3 linked regions of the Macaca fascicularis genome follow. The protein of the gene in region 1 purifies or fractionates together with the protein of each later gene. This does not show direct contact. Links are inferred from orthologs where the notes say so. Each region holds a gene or a part of one and is shown on either strand. Other genes may lie near its edges.

What was found.
Region 2: the proteins of CPSF6 (region 1) and NCBP3 purify together in Homo sapiens (co-immunoprecipitation; 3 studies listed by BioGRID and IntAct, with this or other methods). This does not show direct contact. The link is inferred for Macaca fascicularis from reciprocal best matches to the Homo sapiens genes CPSF6 and NCBP3.
Region 3: the proteins of CPSF6 (region 1) and SRPK2 purify together in Homo sapiens (affinity purification with mass spectrometry; 3 studies listed by BioGRID and IntAct, with this or other methods). This does not show direct contact. The link is inferred for Macaca fascicularis from reciprocal best matches to the Homo sapiens genes CPSF6 and SRPK2.

The regions. Positions count from the first base shown.
Region 1 is NC_088385.1:76,004,137-76,010,339, reverse strand, and holds the start of CPSF6 (cleavage and polyadenylation specificity factor subunit 6), read right to left. Parts: upstream 4,044-6,203; 5' UTR 3,957-4,043; coding exon 3,897-3,956; intron 1-3,896. UniProt on the Homo sapiens protein: Component of the cleavage factor Im (CFIm) complex that functions as an activator of the pre-mRNA 3'-end cleavage and polyadenylation processing required for the maturation of pre-mRNA into functional mRNAs.
Region 2 is NC_088390.1:3,888,684-3,894,695, reverse strand, and holds the start of NCBP3 (nuclear cap-binding protein subunit 3), read left to right. Parts: upstream 1-2,076; 5' UTR 2,077-2,099; coding exon 2,100-2,282; intron 2,283-5,216; coding exon 5,217-5,282; intron 5,283-6,012. UniProt on the Homo sapiens protein: Associates with NCBP1/CBP80 to form an alternative cap-binding complex (CBC) which plays a key role in mRNA export. NCBP3 serves as adapter protein linking the capped RNAs (m7GpppG-capped RNA) to NCBP1/CBP80.
Region 3 is NC_088377.1:146,651,122-146,656,592, reverse strand, and holds part of SRPK2 (SRSF protein kinase 2), read left to right. Parts: intron 1-278; coding exon 279-525; intron 526-1,127; coding exon 1,128-1,610; intron 1,611-5,471. UniProt on the Homo sapiens protein: Serine/arginine-rich protein-specific kinase which specifically phosphorylates its substrates at serine residues located in regions rich in arginine/serine dipeptides, known as RS domains and is involved in the phosphorylation of SR splicing factors and the regulation of splicing.

The sequences.
Region 1 (6,203 bases):
CTTACCTTTTCTATGTTTAGATATATTAGATACACAAATACCACTGTGTTACAACTGCCTACAGTGTTCAGTACAGTAATATGTTGTACAAGTTTGTAGCCTAGGAGCAACAGGCTACACCATATAGCCTACATATATGGTGTACCTTCTAGGTTTGAAATGCAAAAGCACTCTATGATCACATATGATGAAAGCACCTAAGATGGACTTCTCAGAACATATCGCCATCATGAAGCGACACGATTGTATAAGTTTACTGTAATAAAAGTTACCTAAATATAGTATCTCTCAAAGTACCTTACTGTATGTAATATTTTCAGCCCTCAGAACCACGAGTAACTGAAACCACAGAAAGTGGAACTGTGGATACGTGTGGACTACTGTATGTAGGTATCTCTCAGCTCCCCTCCAGTGTACTCTAAGGGTAGAGACTACCTAAACTTTGTATCCCTCGTTGCTGGCACATAACAGACACTTAAGAAATGTATTTTCAACATTTTTTTTTTGAGACAGGGTCTCGCTCTGTCATCTAGGCTGGAGTGCAGTGGCCTGATCTCAGCTCACTGCAACCTCTGCCTCCCAGGTTCAAGCGATTCTCCTGCTCAGCTTCCTGATTAGCTGGGATTACAGGCAGGCACCACCATGCCCGGCCAATTTTTGTATTTTTAATAGAGATGGGGCTTCACCATGTTGGTCAGGCTGGTCTGGAACTCCCGACCTCAAGTGATCTGCCCACCTCGGCCTCCCAAAGTGCTGGGATTACAGGCATGAGCCACCACACTCGTCCTAAACAATTCAACTTTTAAATTATTTAGTTTTGGCCAGAATTTTAAAATCTACATTTACTAAATATTGGGCTAGTAATTACTACACTTGAGTATAAATCCCAGTTTAAACTGAATTGACACACTATTGAGTGTGAGACAGAATCACTTTCTTCTCAACTTCAAGTAATATGGAGGTTTGCAAGACGTTCAAATTGCCCTTCCAACTGTTCTCAACTTGGTGACATCCAAAGACCTCTAAGAATTAAAGAGAACCCATAAGGATTAGTCAGTCCCTTGTGCCTCCTCCCCCTTCATTCTCCATTCTTAAGTTCACCTGGTGAAGAAAAGAACTCTATTAGAGCTTCACTAAATTATTATTCTCAATCTATCCCCAAACAAATTAGTTTCTGCTAAGACTGTTGAATGCCTCACTTTTTTCTACTTCAATAGATGCAAATCACGTTTTGAAACAATACTGTACCTTACCAAAATACAAACAAGCTTCATAAAAGTATGACATTTAAAATATGAGACTCAGCAGGATACAGACAAAAAAATAGTAGAAAATGGAAATAAAGACTATGCCGAATTTCAAAGTACACAAATCCAATTAGAACTGCAGTTTACACTGGAAAACAAAGTTTTTTTTTAATGTTTACAACAGTTTTGAAGCCAAAATAAGTCAAAACTGGCTAATACTTAGGAAAGTATTTTACTCAACAATAAAACAAGAGGTCAAGTCTACCATAGCAACTAGTAGAAATAAGGTCACCAGCTAGTAAAGATTAAATCAGTTGTAAATTATTTTGTGGTTGCCTCTAATGGTGGCAAAATTTTGGAAAAACATTTCAATGACAGTAACATTTTTAAAAGCAGGATAAGCTCTGAAAATAACCAACTATCCTTTTGTGACTTTTTTTTTTTTTGGTACAGGAACTACCACAGCAAGCAGTGGTACTGCAAAAAGATATACAAATCAATCAATCATTGATTGGCCAACGATATGCAAAGTAGCAAAAACAATGCCTCTATGTATCCTCGCCATCAATCTATTCAAACATATAAAGATCTTACTGGCAAAATTATACAACTGTGTTAGATATGTGGTACGTACCTTATACAAATCGTTGAAAAGTTACATTTAAAAGGAGTCCCTCATTGGGTCCACAAAACTAATCTCTTCTTACCTCCCGCCCAGTCAGCACTTGCTACTGCACAGGGATAACAATCCACCCAGCTATCCGGAAAAGGGAGATGTCCCTCGCAAATTAAGAATGCAAAAGCCCAAACATATTTCATTAAGAGGTACTGAAAAAAGTTTAACTTCTAAAATTGTGTCCCAATTCTTCTTTTATTGTGCATAGAAAGGTGAAGCAAAGTATTCTCTTGTAAGAAAAGCTAACAAGGGCAGCCTTGAACACTTAATCGTTGTTCCTTGCAGTTACGGCCCTCTTCTAAACGCACTGTTACATTCACTTGATAAATAAAAGGAAAAAAATTTCCTAGAGGTCTTATAAGCGTTAGAATCTGTGTTGCAGTCGAGGAATGTATCTGATTTGTAACTGACACAATTCAAGCATTATTATTTAAAACAAGCACAATTTTAAAAACACAAAAATTTAAAAACTTAACCTTTCATTACAATGTATTACATTTAAACAAATCCAGTCTTCAACGGAGTAGCAAACATTTAAAGCCAACTAGTAGTTTTCTGTTTTCTAATATTTAAACCAGAACAAAGTCATTCCTGAAAAATAAAACAGTAAAGAGCTCTTGAGTTTCCTTGTTTTTAAAAAGCCTGAGCAACTAGTCACGAATATGACAGTTAATGGAGGGGGAAAAAAACACATTAAGCCAGTATTATTTTATTAAGCTTCTCATAAGGACCTGGGAAATACAAAAAAATAAAGCTTTTAGGAACACGGCAGTTAGGCACAATTTGTTTTAAATGTGTTACTACATAAAATGCAGTAAAGATACGACCAGCAGGTTCAAACCTTAAACGTCACTACTCTAGCAACAAACGACATCTTTTGCAAGGATGCCCATTATCAGACATCACAGCTCCGCGTTACCTCTAAGCAACGTCGTTCAGGAAAACCTTGCATTCTCACTTTCGCTCAACCTTTCAAAAGGTAATGCAGGGCCGGGGGATTTAACACTTTGTTTTCGAAAACAGGGTCTTATCTACAACTCTATTTTTAAACCACATCATAGGATTTGGGGTGAACGTTCTTTCATTTTAATCACTATGAGACCTGTGGGTGAGCTAACATCTTTTTGTTCCATCCAAACATCGCGCTTCCAATCTTCCTTTAGGTCCCCGGCCACCCATCTTCACAGGTATTTTCATAACAAAGGCCAAAAACGACTGGGCTTCAAAGGCATTGCAAGCCCTGGATTAACAAGGCAGGACCAGCGCACCGACTTTTATCTGTGGCTCCAAAAGTCAAATGACTTGTTGCAAACAAGCCTGCACCTCAGCCGCCTTCAGAAAGTGTGAAGGGAGGAGGAAGGCGCCACGCCGAAACCTGTCGCAAACTCGAGGAGAGCCCCAGGGACTGGGCGCGCGGGATACAAAGGGCCGTGAATGCGGCCTTCCATGAGGCGATAGTGCGCGGGTAGGGAGACAAAATGGAGCAATGGGAGGAATCTGAGCCCGAGCAGCAGCGGCGGGGAAGGGGCGGCGGCGGCGGGCGCGCGCCCTGCCGGGGCTTCCTCCTCCGGCCGGCGACGGGGGAGGGGGCGCGGCGGCGGCCAGTTCTCTCCGCCGCTTACACGCGGCCCCACCGCCCGGGCCTAGCGCGGCGGGAAGCGCCAGCCGGGTGCCGCCAACAATAGGGAGCGAGGCAGCGCCGGCGAGGGAGGAGCCGGCGGCAGCTGCACAGCGGCCCGCATCCGCGCTCCGGGCCCCGCGACGGGTCGCCGCGCCCGCGGCCCGTGAAACGACGCGGTAGAACGAAGGGCGGGGGGGGGGGGGCCGCCACGCCGGGGGTCGCGGCGCGGCCCAGAGGCGGCAAGGGCGCATAGTCTGCAGTCGCTTCGGCTCGCGGCCGCAGCGGGCCCCGGGTCAGCGTCCCAGCCGCAGCGCCGCCCGCGTCGGCGACGGGGACCCGGGCTCTCACGTACCTGGTTGAACTCTTCGCCCACATCCGCGTAAATGTCTATGTGGTCCACGCCGTCCGCCATCTTCCCTCAGCCTCGGCCGCCACCGCCGCCGCCGCCGCCGCCTCCTCCTGCAGGTCCGCCCGCCGCGGCAGCAGCAGCGGATCTAGCGGCGGTGGGGGGCGCTTGCGTCACTTCCGAGGCCCGAGGGATGGAGGCGGGAGCGACAGGGGCCGGCCGGGGGCGGGGACTGTGCAACCCAGCCGCTCGGCTGGCTGAGGAAAGGCTGCTCCTCTAAGGGCAGAGGGCGTTTCTTTTGTGTCTGGGTGAGGCCCGGGAGTGGGGGGCAATTTCTTTGTCCTCCTCGCGCATCCAGTTTACCAGTGGGTCCCACCTGTTTCCACACATCGTCTTTTCACGTGGCCTCTGCCATACTCAAACGTTTTGTTAATATTTTCATTTATCCGTTTTTCTTACCTTTCACACATGCAGGACTGCTAAAGGTGGAAGTTATATGTTCATGGTTAAATACAAAGTGTAACCCCCGGGCATTCTGTGAGCGGCTTAAGGCCAAAAACAATGTGTTGTTTCTGCATCCTCAGAGACAAGCAGAGTTTTATTTGCATGTAAACGCTAGATACCCGTCAGTGGTTATATTTGCACGCTGTTTATGTTGCCATTTCCATCTCTAATCTTCATGGGCTTCTTTCCTCTCCCCTTCCTCTCGCATTCATTGCCCTTCATTTTTTCTTCCTTAGATCTACAGTAGGTTGTCTCTGGCATAGTTCAGATGCTTCTAAAATGAATGCAGTCATCTTACAGCACACCCAAGAGGGTGGAGGTCTCTTGAGGCCAGGGGCTTCTTTCTCAGAATCCTAGAATGTCCCAGCGGGAAGGGAACTGGAAAGGTGTCCTTAGGTCCAAACATCTCATTTTACAGAGGAGAAGACTGAAGCCTAATAGAACCTAAGTGATTTAACCAGGTCACATGGTCAATAAAGGTAGGAACATTCAGCCACGATACTTTACTCAAGGATGTCTCTCCAGTTTGAAACTTTCCCCTCCGTTCTTTATTTCTTTTTCACTCATTAAGAAATATACTATAGTAGAGCGTGTTTCCTGAGAAACTGGCGAGAAATCATCCATAGAATAACCCAAACAACATCTGTAAGGTTGGGCATCTCTAATCCAACAATTTGAAACGCTCCAAAATCTGAAACTTTTTGTGCACTGACATGATGCCGCAAGTGAAAAATTCCACACCTGATCTTATGTGCCAGGTTGCAGTCAAAATGCAATCAAAACTTTGTTTCATGCACAAAATAACTAAAAATATTGTATGACATAATCTTCAGGCTATGTGTATAAGGTATATGTGAAACATAAATGAATTTCGTTTAGACTTGGGTCCCATCCCCTAGATATGTTATGTATACACAAATATTCCAAAATCCACCAAAATCCAAAATCCAAACACTTCTAGTCCCAAGCATTTTGCATAAAAAAGACTCAATCTGCACTTGGTATGGTGGAAAAAGCTTGGTTGCAGTCATGGAGACCAGATCTGGGTACCCATTTCTAATCAGACATTTTATCAGCTAAATGACCTCAGTCAAGTTTTCAACTCTCATAATCAATCTCAGAATCTTTAAAATCCAGGCAATAATATCTACCTCACCAAGGCTGAAGGTTGGTGATACTTTAAATGAGTTAACATGAGTTAATATGCAAAGTGCCCTGTCCTGTTCCAAGAATCAGTACTTAAATACTGATTCACTTTCTTTCATAGGGCGTTATAGAAGAAAAGAGACACTGAAGTTTAAAGACGAGAGCATTTTCTAGATTGGTGGTGTGGTAGAATGATGGCCCACCATAGATGTTCATATTCTTATCCCTGAAATCTGTGAATATGTTACCTTTGCAGATATGATGAAGTTAAGGATCTTGAGATAGAGATAGGGATACCTTGATTGCCCAGTAGGCTCAAAGTAATTGCAAGGGTCTTTAGAAGTGAGAGAGGGAGGCAGTAGAATCAGAGAAGATGCAAAGATTTCTATTGCAGTTTATTTTCTTTCAATACAATTAAAAACCATTCCAGCCAGCATGGAGGCTCATGCCTGTAATCTCAGAACTTTGGGACGCCATGGAGGGAAAATTGCTTGAGCCCATGAGTTTGGGACGAGCCTGGGCAACATAGGGATACCTTGTCTCTACAAAAAAATAAAAAAATTAGCCAGGCATAATGGTGTGCACATGTAGTCCCAGCTACTCGGGAGGCTGAGTTGGAAGGATCACTTGAGCCTGGGAGATTGAGGCTGCAGTGAGCCATAA
Region 2 (6,012 bases), on another chromosome or scaffold:
AAGGCTCCTCCCCAGCAGGGAGAAGGGCCTGCCCAGCCTTCCTCTCCCATCCTCTCACCCCACAGACCTAGTAATGGTGAGAGCTGTGACTGTCACCTATAGCTGGCCACCCCAACTACACATTTTGCTCGAAATAACACACACACACACACACACACACACACACACGCATTCTATGTATGCATTCAACCCAATTTTTTAAAATTTGTTTTGGAGACAGAGTCTTGCTCTGTCGCTCAGTCTGGAGTGCAGCGGTGCGATGTCAGCTCACTGCAACTTCCACCTCCTGGGTTCAAGTGATTCTCCTGCCTCAGCCTCCCGAGCAGTGCATGCCACTACACCCAGCTATTTTATTTTATTTTTTTAGTAGAGATGGGGTTTCACCATGTTAGCCAGGATGGTCTCAATCTCCTGACCTTGTGATCTGCCCGCCTTGGCCTCCCAAAGTGTTGGGATTCGGGCATGAGCCACCATGCCCGGCCTCAACCCGATTTTTAAAACTACTTTGTATCCCATTCATCAAATAAAACTAGTCCTCTAAAGAGCTGTGTCTTGTGTTTATCCTACGATTTAGCCCAAATTTAAGAAAAACTATGATGTAGCCCAAAATTAAGAAAAACCATCCCTTCTGTTAGACCCTGTATCTACATATAAATTATCACATTTAATCCTCACAACCTCCTTTAGAGGTAGGTAATGGTCCATTTTACTGATGAAGGAACTGAGACTCCAAAGTGCTAAGCAGCTTGCCTAAGGTCACACATGGTGGATGGGGCAGGGCCAGCCAGCTCGAAACCCAGGTGTGTCCGATGCGGACCATGGTCTTCCTTAGTTTATCATTATTTGCTCCTCCATGGTCAGCGCTGGCAGGGCCTCAGAGACTGCAGGGTCTCACCTACGCCCTCCTCAGATGCAAAAACAGACCCAAAAACCTGTCCAAAGCTACCCAGGGAGGAAGACGCAAAATCAGGACTCAGGCCAGGCGCAGCGGCTCACGCCTGTAATCCCAGGACTTTGGGAGGCCGAGGTGGGTGGATGGCTTAAGGTTAGGAGTTCGAGATCAGCTTAGCTAACATGGTGAAAGTCTGTCTCTGCAAAAAATAAGAAAGAAAGAGAAAGAAAGAAAGAAAGAAGGAAAGAAAGAAAAGAAAGAAAGAAAAGAATGAAAGAAAGAAAAGAGAGGAAGGAAGAAAAAGAGAAATGAAGAAAAGAAAGAGAAGAAAGGAAGGAAGGAAGGAAGAAAAAAGAAAGGAAGAAAGGAAGAAAGGAAGGAAGGAAGAAAGAAAGAAAGAAAGAAAGAGAAAGAAAATCAGGACTCAGAACCTAACAGCTGATCAGTGACACCCTCGGGATGCCTAGACAACCCCCCTCCCCCACTAGGCTAGAAGTATCCGCAGGAAACTACGCTCACAGGTCTACAGTGGATGGCACCCTCAGGAGTCAGGAAATCAGTGTCCAAGTTCTGGCCTTTGGGCAGGTCTCAAATTTTGTGTATGTAACATGGGCCAATTTTGGGGAGACTTTTAAGAGACAAAGGCAGGCAAGGCAAGTAACGTTATAAACCTACAGATTGCCCAGAGGTGATATATCAAGGCTCATCGTAAACTCCGGAAGACTTAGATCCAGCTTTTATCCCTTAAATGGCGTCACCTCGGATCAATTTCTATACCTCAGTTTCCTCATATATGAAATGGGGGTCATAATGGGATCTACTTCATAGAGTTGTTCTAAGGGTTCGAGCGCTTGGAAGTGTCTGGCCCATGGTGATCGCTCAGTAAAGGTGGCTTTTAGTACAGGTTTAGCCTCAAGGCGTAGCTACATTGTAACCCTTGACTACCCCGGTCTCCTCCAAGCTCCGTCGCTCCCGCAGGCCCCGCCCCCGTCCCCGCTCAGTCCCGCCTTCTCCTCCCCAGGTCCCGCCCGCGCAGCACGCCCGGGTTCCTCCCGCCACCAGGGGGCGGCGGCGCTGAGGGCGGCCTTCTGGCCGAAGCCGGCGACGCTCTAGGTAGCTGCGGCGGCTCCTCTGTGGCCAGTGGCTGCGGCGCTCTAGCCGGCGGCCGTAAGGGGCGGGCTCTCGGTGGTGCGGCCGGCAGGCAGCTATGGCGGCCGTACGGGGCCTGCGGGTGTCGGTGAAGGCGGAGGCCCCGGCGGGGCCAGACCTGGGGCTCCCGTCCCCTGAGGCGGAGTCGGGTGTTGACCGTGGCGAGCCGGAGCCCATGGAGGTGGAGGAGGGCGAGCTGGAAATCGTGCCCGTGCGGCGCTCGCTCAAGGAACTGATCCCGGTACGGGCGGGGGTCGGGGGGCAAGGAGGAGGTCGCGGGGCTAGTGCCCAGCGCCGGAGGGGGCCGGAAGGGGCGGTGGCTGGAGCCCCAGCCGGGGAAGTCTGGGGAGCGGGAGAGAAGGGAGCCAGCGTCCTGGGGACGAGGGCGCCGGGCTGGAGGAGGGACGCGGAGCGGGAGAAAGGACGCCGGTGCGCCGGAAATGGGTGTTGAGGGGGCTGGAGGGGGTGGCGGAGAGCTGGGAGAGAGTTGAGGACCCCCCTCCGCTGCCCCCTCCGAGCCGTGCTGTGCAAAGGGGTGAGTGAGGAGTGTCTGGAGGGCTGAGATAAAGGGGGAGCCCTGGGCGGGAACAGAACCGGGAGCAGCCCAGAAGGAGCTGTTGGGTGGCGCCAGCAACCAGGTCTCTCCTGTGGGTCTTGCCCCGGAGGAATTTGTATCTGTGAAACATGGCACTCGCTCTTTCTCTTGGGAGGGCTGCACTTGTCAGCAGCAGAAACTCACTGTTTCTGTCGTGACTTCAGGGTCATCTTGCGCCACCCGCCCCCCACCCCCCCACCCCCCCCGCCGCAGCTCCACTGGCACCTACACCGTGGCCCCAGCATCTCACTCTTAATGAAAGTAAACTAGCAAACGATCAATAGACGCCCTTGATCCCTCATTTACCGCGCTGGGGATGGTGAGGTGTTTTGCTTGTGACTTGGTGGCTGTAGATCCAGTTCTTAGAGCTGATTTGAGGCCTGGATGACTCCTCTTAATTTCTAACTTAATATGAACTACTTTTCACCACATGTCAACATATTTAGACTGAAGTTATGGAGAAAGGTTAAGGTATGATCGCTAGAGATGGCAAACGTTATTGATTATGATTAACAACAGCTAATATATTAGCATTTACCATTCACTACATTGTGTCACTTAAATATACTGGCCATGCACACCTTTAGTGCCAGCTGTTCAGGAGTCTAAGTTCCAGACCAGCCTCAGTAATATAGCAACACCCCTTCGAGGTCCCTCCTTTCGCCTCTCCCCATCTCAAAAACAAAACAAAACCAAAATAAGTATCACTGCAGTTGTGAAGTAGGTGTTATCATCCTTTCAGTCATTCAGTTCGACATGGTTTTTGTTTTGTTTTGAGACGGAGTTTCGCTCTTGTTACCCAGGCTGGAGCGCGATGGCGCAATCTCAGCTCACCGCAACCTCTGCCTCCCGGGTTCAAGCGATTCTCCTGCCTCAGCCTCCTGAGTAGCTGAGCCCAATGGTGCGATCTCGGTTTACCACAACCTCCACCTCCTGGGTTCAAGTGATTCTCCTGCCTCAGCCTCCCAAGTAGCTGAAATTACGGGGGTGTGCCACCATGTCCAGCTAATCTTGTATTTTTAGTAGAGACAGGATTTCTCCATGTTGGCCGGGCTGGTCTCGAACTCCTGACCTCAGGTGATCCTCCCGCCTCTACCTCCCAGAGTGCTGGGATTACAGGCATGAGCCACCGTGCCTGGCCAACATGTATTTATTGCATCCCCCACTATGTACCAAGACACAGCCCTAGGTGCTTGATCAAGATCAACCTCCCTGCTGGAGTGTATGCTCCATATAAACTCTCAATGACAAAAAGGAGCCAACCTTGTGAAGACTGAAAAGGGGTTCCCCCAGCCGGGGCAATAGCAAGCACAGAGGGTCTGGGGTGGGTCCAGGATCGTTGCAAAGTTCTGTAGCGCTAATGGAAGGGCAGTAAAAGAGGTCAGGAAGGCAGGTAGATACCACGCAGGAAACTGGGACCCAGAGAGGTCAAGGAAACTATACAGTGTCCTGTAATTAGTGACCGTCAGAGCTGAGGCTTCCGTCCTCGCTTGGTTTCCAAATCCCATCCCCTTTGCATTGCACTGTGCTGTATTTGCCTCAGGAATTCTAGGTGAGGCTGGACTTCTGCATTGAGGTGGAGGGTTGGGCTCCACCTGGTGGCTGGGCATGGGGAATTCGTTCAGACTAGGTTGGGGAGCGAAGTGACTGTGCTTCATCTTTTGACATTTTCCACAAAAGCCTTTAGATTTTTCTGTACATGGATACTTTCAGTTGATGGAATCACTTCAGGTTTTGGACAGGCTCTGCTCTTCTTATTGGAGTGGTTGATTGATACCATGGAATCACTGGGATGGGGCTTCTTAATAAAAGGTTGTCAGGGGTGGGGAAGGGTTTTGAAAAGAATGACTCTTCAAAAAGAACCAGACTGGCCAGGTGCGGTGGCTCATGCCTGTAATCCCAGCACTTTGGCAGGCTGAGACAGACAGATCACCTGAGGTCAGGAGTTTGAGACCAGCCGGCCGACATGGTGAAACCTCGTCTCTACTAAAAATACAAAAATTAGCTGGCCATGGTGGCGCACACCTGTAATCCCAGCTACTCAGGAGGCTGAGGCAGGAGCATCACTGGAACCCGGGAGGTAGCAGTTGCAGTGAGCCGAGTTTGCACCACTGCCCTCCAGCCTAGGTGATAGAGCAAGACTCCATCTCAAAACACAAACACATAAACAAAAAGAACCAGACTCTGGGTGGTGGCTCATGCATGTCATCCTAACACTTTGGGAGATTGAGGCAGGAGGACTGCTTTAGCCCAGGAGTTGGAGACCAGCCTGGGCAACATAGGGAGACCCTGTCTCTACAAAAATTAAAAAAAAAATGAGCTGGGTGTGGTGGCATATTCCTGAGGGCCCAGCTACTGGGGAAGCTGAGGTGGGAGGATGGCTTGAGCCTGGGGAGTCGAGGCTGCAGTGAGCTGTGATCATTCTACTGCACTCCAGCCTGGTCAACAGAGCGAGACACTGTCACAAAAAAATAAAAATGAAAAAAAAATAAAAAAGAAGAACCAGCTGTCAGCCCGACTTTTATCATAGGTTTTTCCTCAATTGCTGTCTGAATTTCTCACCCTTCCCCTTTGTGTTAGGACACGAGCAGAAGATACGAAAACAAGGCTGGCAGCTTCATCACTGGAATTGATGTCACCTCCAAGGTAAGACAGGCTATGATTTATTTATTCGCTTGATAAGCAAGTGAACTTAATGAACTTGATCCCTAGGACTTAACAGTAAATATTTCCTCTTTTCTTTTGTTGCTGGATTTAAATTTTCTTTCTAAAAAAAAAATGGTGTTATTGGCCGGGCACACTGGCTCATGCCTGTAATCCTAGCACTTTGAGAGGCCCAGCAAGTAGGTCATTTAAGACCAGGAGTTCGAGACCAGCCTGGGCAACATAGTGAGACCCGTCTCTACAAAAGATACAGAAATTAGCTGGGTGTGGTAGTGCAGGTCTGTAGTCCCAGCTACTCGGGAGGCTGAGGTGGGAGGATCACTTGAGCCTGCCAGGTTGAGGCTGCAGTGAGCTGAAATCATGCGACTGCATTCCAGCATGGACAACAAAAAAAAAGTTTGTGTTATACAACGATGTCTTCATGCATCCTGAAACGGTGCAGGCAGCATTTGTGTGTTCTTACAGCCATGAAAAGATAAAATCACTCTACCTAGGTAACTGTGTTGAACCATTTCTAAGAAAATGTCCAGGATTGGGAATGCTTTTTTAAATGGTATGTCCATTTCTAAAAACAAATATGTACTGTTTCCACTTGAAATGAAACAAAATATGAAAAGCGCCTGGCACATAGTAGGCAGCCCCCCTTTTTCCTTTTTCTTTTTTTTTCAGATGGAGTCTCGCTCTGTTGCCCAGGCTGGAATACAGTGGTACG
Region 3 (5,471 bases), on another chromosome or scaffold:
GGTTTGAATGGTGAAGACTTACTGGATTTAAGCTCTATCCCTTTGAGGGTAGGACCTGGTGGTAGACCCAGCACGTGAGATCAGTCAGCACTGCTTTCCCTTTGATTTTACTGTAAGCCTTACCACAAAGTAGATCTGTCTGGGTTTGGGATTTTAGTAGAATATGGCATGAGAAAGCAGAATTTATTGGTATTTGCCGTGCTGCTAGCAGTTATACTATCATGTGGTACTTTAAAAAGAAGAAAACTGACCTGTGGTCTTTTCTTAACATGTTATAGATAGGAAAAATATCTAAAAACAAAAAGAAAAAACTGAAAAAGAAACAGAAGAGGCAGGCTGAGTTATTGGAGAAACGCCTGCAGGAGATAGAAGAATTGGAGCGAGAAGCTGAAAGGAAAATAATAGAAGAAAACATCACCTCAGCTGCACCTTCCAATGACCAGGATGGCGAATACTGCCCAGAGGTGAAACTAAAAACAACAGGATTAGAGGAGGCGGCTGAGACAGAGACTGCAAAGGACAATGGTCAGTGGGGCCTCGAACCTGTGCTGCATGGGGTCCTCAGAGCTCCATTAGTAGGGTCCTACCCAGTCAGCTTGGGGGCTGATTTGTGCTGCTGCTGCAGATGACAAGTCCGATTCTCTCCAACTCCCTACTGGGAAATATGGGAGACAGCCTTGTACTTCATCATTTGTGAACTGTATGCCAGAAATATGTTAACATTTCAAAATAGTTTTTAAAAAATGTAAAACGTCTGAGAAATACCATGTTTCTGTCATGCTAATGATGGTGCTTTATTTTGTCATTAACTTTTTACCTAACTGTAATGCACCACAAGTCTATTTCTGAAGATTGTAGAAGGTAGAAATGGAAGTGCAACTTTATTTAGAAAGAGTTATTTTCCCTTAAGGGTAACTTTTTCTTATAAGAGCAGGCCAATTATTAAATGAATGAAAAATGAGATTTAGAAAACCTGAAGCTTTTACCCCAAAAGCAAAGAGGTGTTTACTAGGTGGTACATAAGTTAAACACATTCAAAACGTGTTTTATTGATGGAGATAAGTACTTAGTGAGGCCGTATTAAGGACAGTAACAAGTTCTTATTCTTGACCCATCAACTTCTTAAGGTGAAGCTGAGGACCAGGAAGAGAAAGAAGATGCTGAGAAAGAAAACATTGAAAAAGATGAAGATGATGTAGATCAGGAACTTGCGAACATAGACCCTACGTGGATAGAATCACCTAAAACCAATGGCCATATTGAGAATGGCCCATTCTCACTGGAGCAGCAACTGGACGATGAAGAGGATGACGAAGAAGACTGCCCAAATCCTGAGGAATATAATCTTGATGAGCCAAATGCAGAAAGTGATTACACATATAGCAGCTCCTATGAACAATTCAATGGTGAATTGCCAAATGGACGACATAAAATTCCCGAGTCACAGTTCCCAGAGTTTTCCACCTCGTTGTTCTCTGGATCCTTAGAACCTGTGGCCTGCGGCTCTGTGCTTTCTGAGGGATCACCACTTACTGAGCAAGAGGAGAGCAGTCCATCCCATGACAGAAGCAGGACGGTTTCAGCCTCCAGTACTGGGGATTTGCCAAAAGGTAAGTGTTCTTCCCATCAACTGTCTGCCATTACTGACTCCAGGGACGTGCCGTTAACAAATGCTATGAAGGAACTGGCTGGAAGTGGCCAAGCCCTGTTTGTGTGTGCTAATCATTTTTATTACTTTTATACTCATGAAGAAGTAATGTGATTTAAATACATGTTCTATGCCACTAGACTATCTCTTGCTCTCTGCATACCAAATCTTATTTCTGATCAGTTCTCATTTTTAATATATTTATAGTCAGCAGCATCATTTGCAAAAACTGGAAGGTTTTTGTAAAAAGGTTTTTGTAAAAAGATGTAAAACTACATCTTTCTAGAATGTGTAGTTTAGTTTATCATTTGTATCTTCTTCTATCTGATATTATTATAGTTTTTTTTGTTTTGTTTTGTTTCTATTCAAGAAAAGTATACCTCCTCTTTGACTCTATTGAGAAAGAAGTGTCATATTGTCTTTTGATATTTGTTCCTGATTATAGGACCCTACTATTGATAACGGGCCCAGGATTGTAATTTTCAAGGAATTGGCATGGATTTAGATGTGATGACAGATTATAGGTTGGCTCTTGTGTTCTTGTCTACCTAAGAAGGCTTGACTTATTCAAACCTTTATTTTGGGAGTCAATGCTGAGTGACTCTAGTAAGTGAAACTGGGTAACACAGTTGGTTTCCATTCTGACTCATGGTGGAAAAGCTCTGAAACCTCCTCTGCTCCCTCTGCTGACAAGACTGTTTAACACACAGTGAGTAATTGATGAGCCAGCCGTGCAAACCACCCAAGACATTATACAGCCCCTTTGGTTCCAGAGTCTGGAATTGCACGCTAAGTGAGCTGGCTTTGTTACACGCTGGCTATGATGAATCCTCCTAAGGATTTGCTTTCTTTACTTGGCTGGACGTGGTCAGCTCCTGTTCCCCTGTATAGGGAGTGTTTGAAGGTGCTTACATAGAATGTAGGTTCATGTCTGGGAAAGGGCAGTAGCGAGATGTACCTTATCCAGATTTATTGTTGCTGTTGCAGTTCAATTTTTCTCTTGAGGTTTCTTTTTTCTTTTTGAGATTGAGTCTTGCTCTGTTGCCCAGGTTTGAGTGCAGTGGCGTGATCTCAGCTCACTGCAACCTCTGCCTCCCGGATTCAAGCGATTCTGCCGCCCCAGCCTCCTGAGTAGCTGGGATTACAAGCATGTGCCACCACGCCTGGCTAATTATTGTATTTTCAGCAGAGACGGGTTTTCACCATGTTGGTCAGGCTGATCTCAAACTCCTGACCTCGTGAGCCACCGCGCCCGGCCGAAGTTTCATATAGAAAGTAATTTACAAAGTATCTTTTTAATTATTTCTATTTTATTTATTTATTTATTTATTTATTTATTTATTTATTTTGAGACAGTCTCAGTCTAGTTGCCCAGGCTGGAGTGCAGTGGTGCAATCTCAGCTCACTGCAACCTTTGCCTCCTGGACTCAAGCAATTCTCCTGCCTCAGTCTCCCGAATAGCTGGGATTACAGGCGCCTGTCACCATGCCTGGCTAATTTTTATATTTTTAGTAGAGACGGAGCTTCACCATGTTGGCTAGGCTGGTCTCCAATGCCTGACCTCAGGTGATCCGCCCTCCCCAGCCTCCCAAAGTGCTGGGATTACAGGTGTGAGCCACCATGACCAGACCAAAGTACCTTTTTTATTTGTACTTAGTTTGCAAGTATTAGCTTAGGCTGCAGTGGCTTCAGTTACAGCCAACCCTCCGTATCCATGGGTTTTACATCTGTGGATTTCACATCCATGTGCTCAGCCAGCCTCAGATGGAAAACAGTTGGAGGGGAAAAAAAAAAACCTGTGTCTTTATTGAACATGTACAGACTTTTCCCCCTTGTCATTATTCCCTAAACAATACAGTATAACAACTATTTACATACCATTTACATTGTAGCAGGTATTATAAATAACTAGAGATCAACTAAAGTATATAGGAAGATGTATGTAGGTTGCATGCAAGCACTATACCATTTTATATCAGCGACTTGAGCATCTGTGGATTTCGGTGTCCTCAGGATGTCCTGGAACCAGTTCCCCGCAGACACCGAGAGGCACCCACGTATCATCAGATTAATCCCCAGCTCAGAACTTAATAACTGTGGAACTTTGGTTTCTTATCCTGTCTGAGCCTTGGCTTATTCCTCTATCAAAGGAAAGAAATGGCTACCTCTAGGGTTGTTAGTAGCACTGAGTTAAATACAACAGGTCAATGGCAAAGGTAGATAAATAACATACAATAATATATTGAAAAATTTCCCATTGAATGTAAGTTGCCTTGGTCATCACAATCCATGTAAAGGAGCACAATTGCTGCTTGTTACCACGTGGTCACCATCGAGGCCCAGGCAAGTCATAAAACTTACCCTGTTGTTTACATGACAGCTCCATCTCTGTCACAGGAAACTTCAAACCTTACATGTTAAAAACCAGAATACAACTCACCCTGCCAACCTGCTACACATGCTGTATTTCCTGCGCTTGTTACCACCATTTCTTGTTGCGTCAGTGAGAAACTTGATCATCAGTATGTCCCCCTTTTTTCTCTCACATCCAGTAAATCATCTCGTTTTGCTAGTCATACCTCATAAGTAGGGGTCCTGCTTGCCTTGGCCCTACAGTGGGCACTGTCATTGCTTGCCTCTGCTGTTACGGAGGCTCCTTACTGGTCTCTTGGCTTTGTGTTCTCTCCAGCTTTTCTCCCCACCTGCCTTTCAGCATGCCCTTCCATGGTGCTGCTAGAGTGTCTTTGCAGTATGCTTACCCGATCAGTGTATTCCCCTGCTCACAGTTTCCACAGGTCCCCATCATCTACAGCAGTGGTCTCCACAGTGGAGAGTGTACATCCCTGCATAGCCAGCACCATCCAGGAAGGTGCAGGAAGGAATTATTAGAGCATCTTTGTATTTTTTTTTATTTTGAAAGACTAGTACAATAAACAACTCTGTATCCTCCACATAGATTGAGCAATTAACATTTTGCCACATTGCATATACTTTCTTTACACAGACACTGCATGCTACACATATTAGGATACTTCACTCCTAAATACTTAAGCATTCATCTTCTGAGAGATGAATTAGGATGTCCTCCATTGTAACAATAATACTATTATAACGTGTAAGAATAGCACTAATTTTATATTATTAAATATAATAATATAGAGACAGGGTCTTGCTCTGTCGCCCAGGCTGGAGTGCAGTGGCGTGATCTCGGCTCACTGCAACCTCTGCTTTCTGGCTCAAGTGATCCTCCCACCTCAGCCCCCCAGGTAGCTGGGGCTACAGTCGGCACCACCATGCCTGGCCAATTTTTGTCTTTTTGGTAGAGAAAGTAGGGTTTTACCATGTTGCCCATGCTGGTATTCAACTTATGGGCTTGAGTGATCTGCCCACCTTGGCTTCCCAAAATGCTAAGATAATAGGCCTGAGCCACTACGTGCCTGGCCTAATATCATCTATTATTTATTCCATATTCAAATTTCCTCAATAATTCTAAAATTTTCTTCTTAAATTTTCCTGATCCAGGATATGATCCAACACAGTAGCCTGCCTCCTGGGTGAGGGCTTCCTGTGTCCCCAGCAGGCTTAGTTCTCTGTCCCCTCTGCTCCTGCTGGCCATGCTCATCTTAGTTGTATGGGCAGTGCTCTTGTCATTGTCTTCTCATTAGAATGTGAACTCTTAGAGAGTGCAGTGCGTTTTTATCTTTGCATCCTTGGCATCTGATTCAGTGCTAAGGTAAATATTTATTGAATAATGAACAAACAAATGAGTGATACCTTGTTGTATTCTTCTTCTCTTTCCTTTCTCCCACTTTTTTTCCATTTA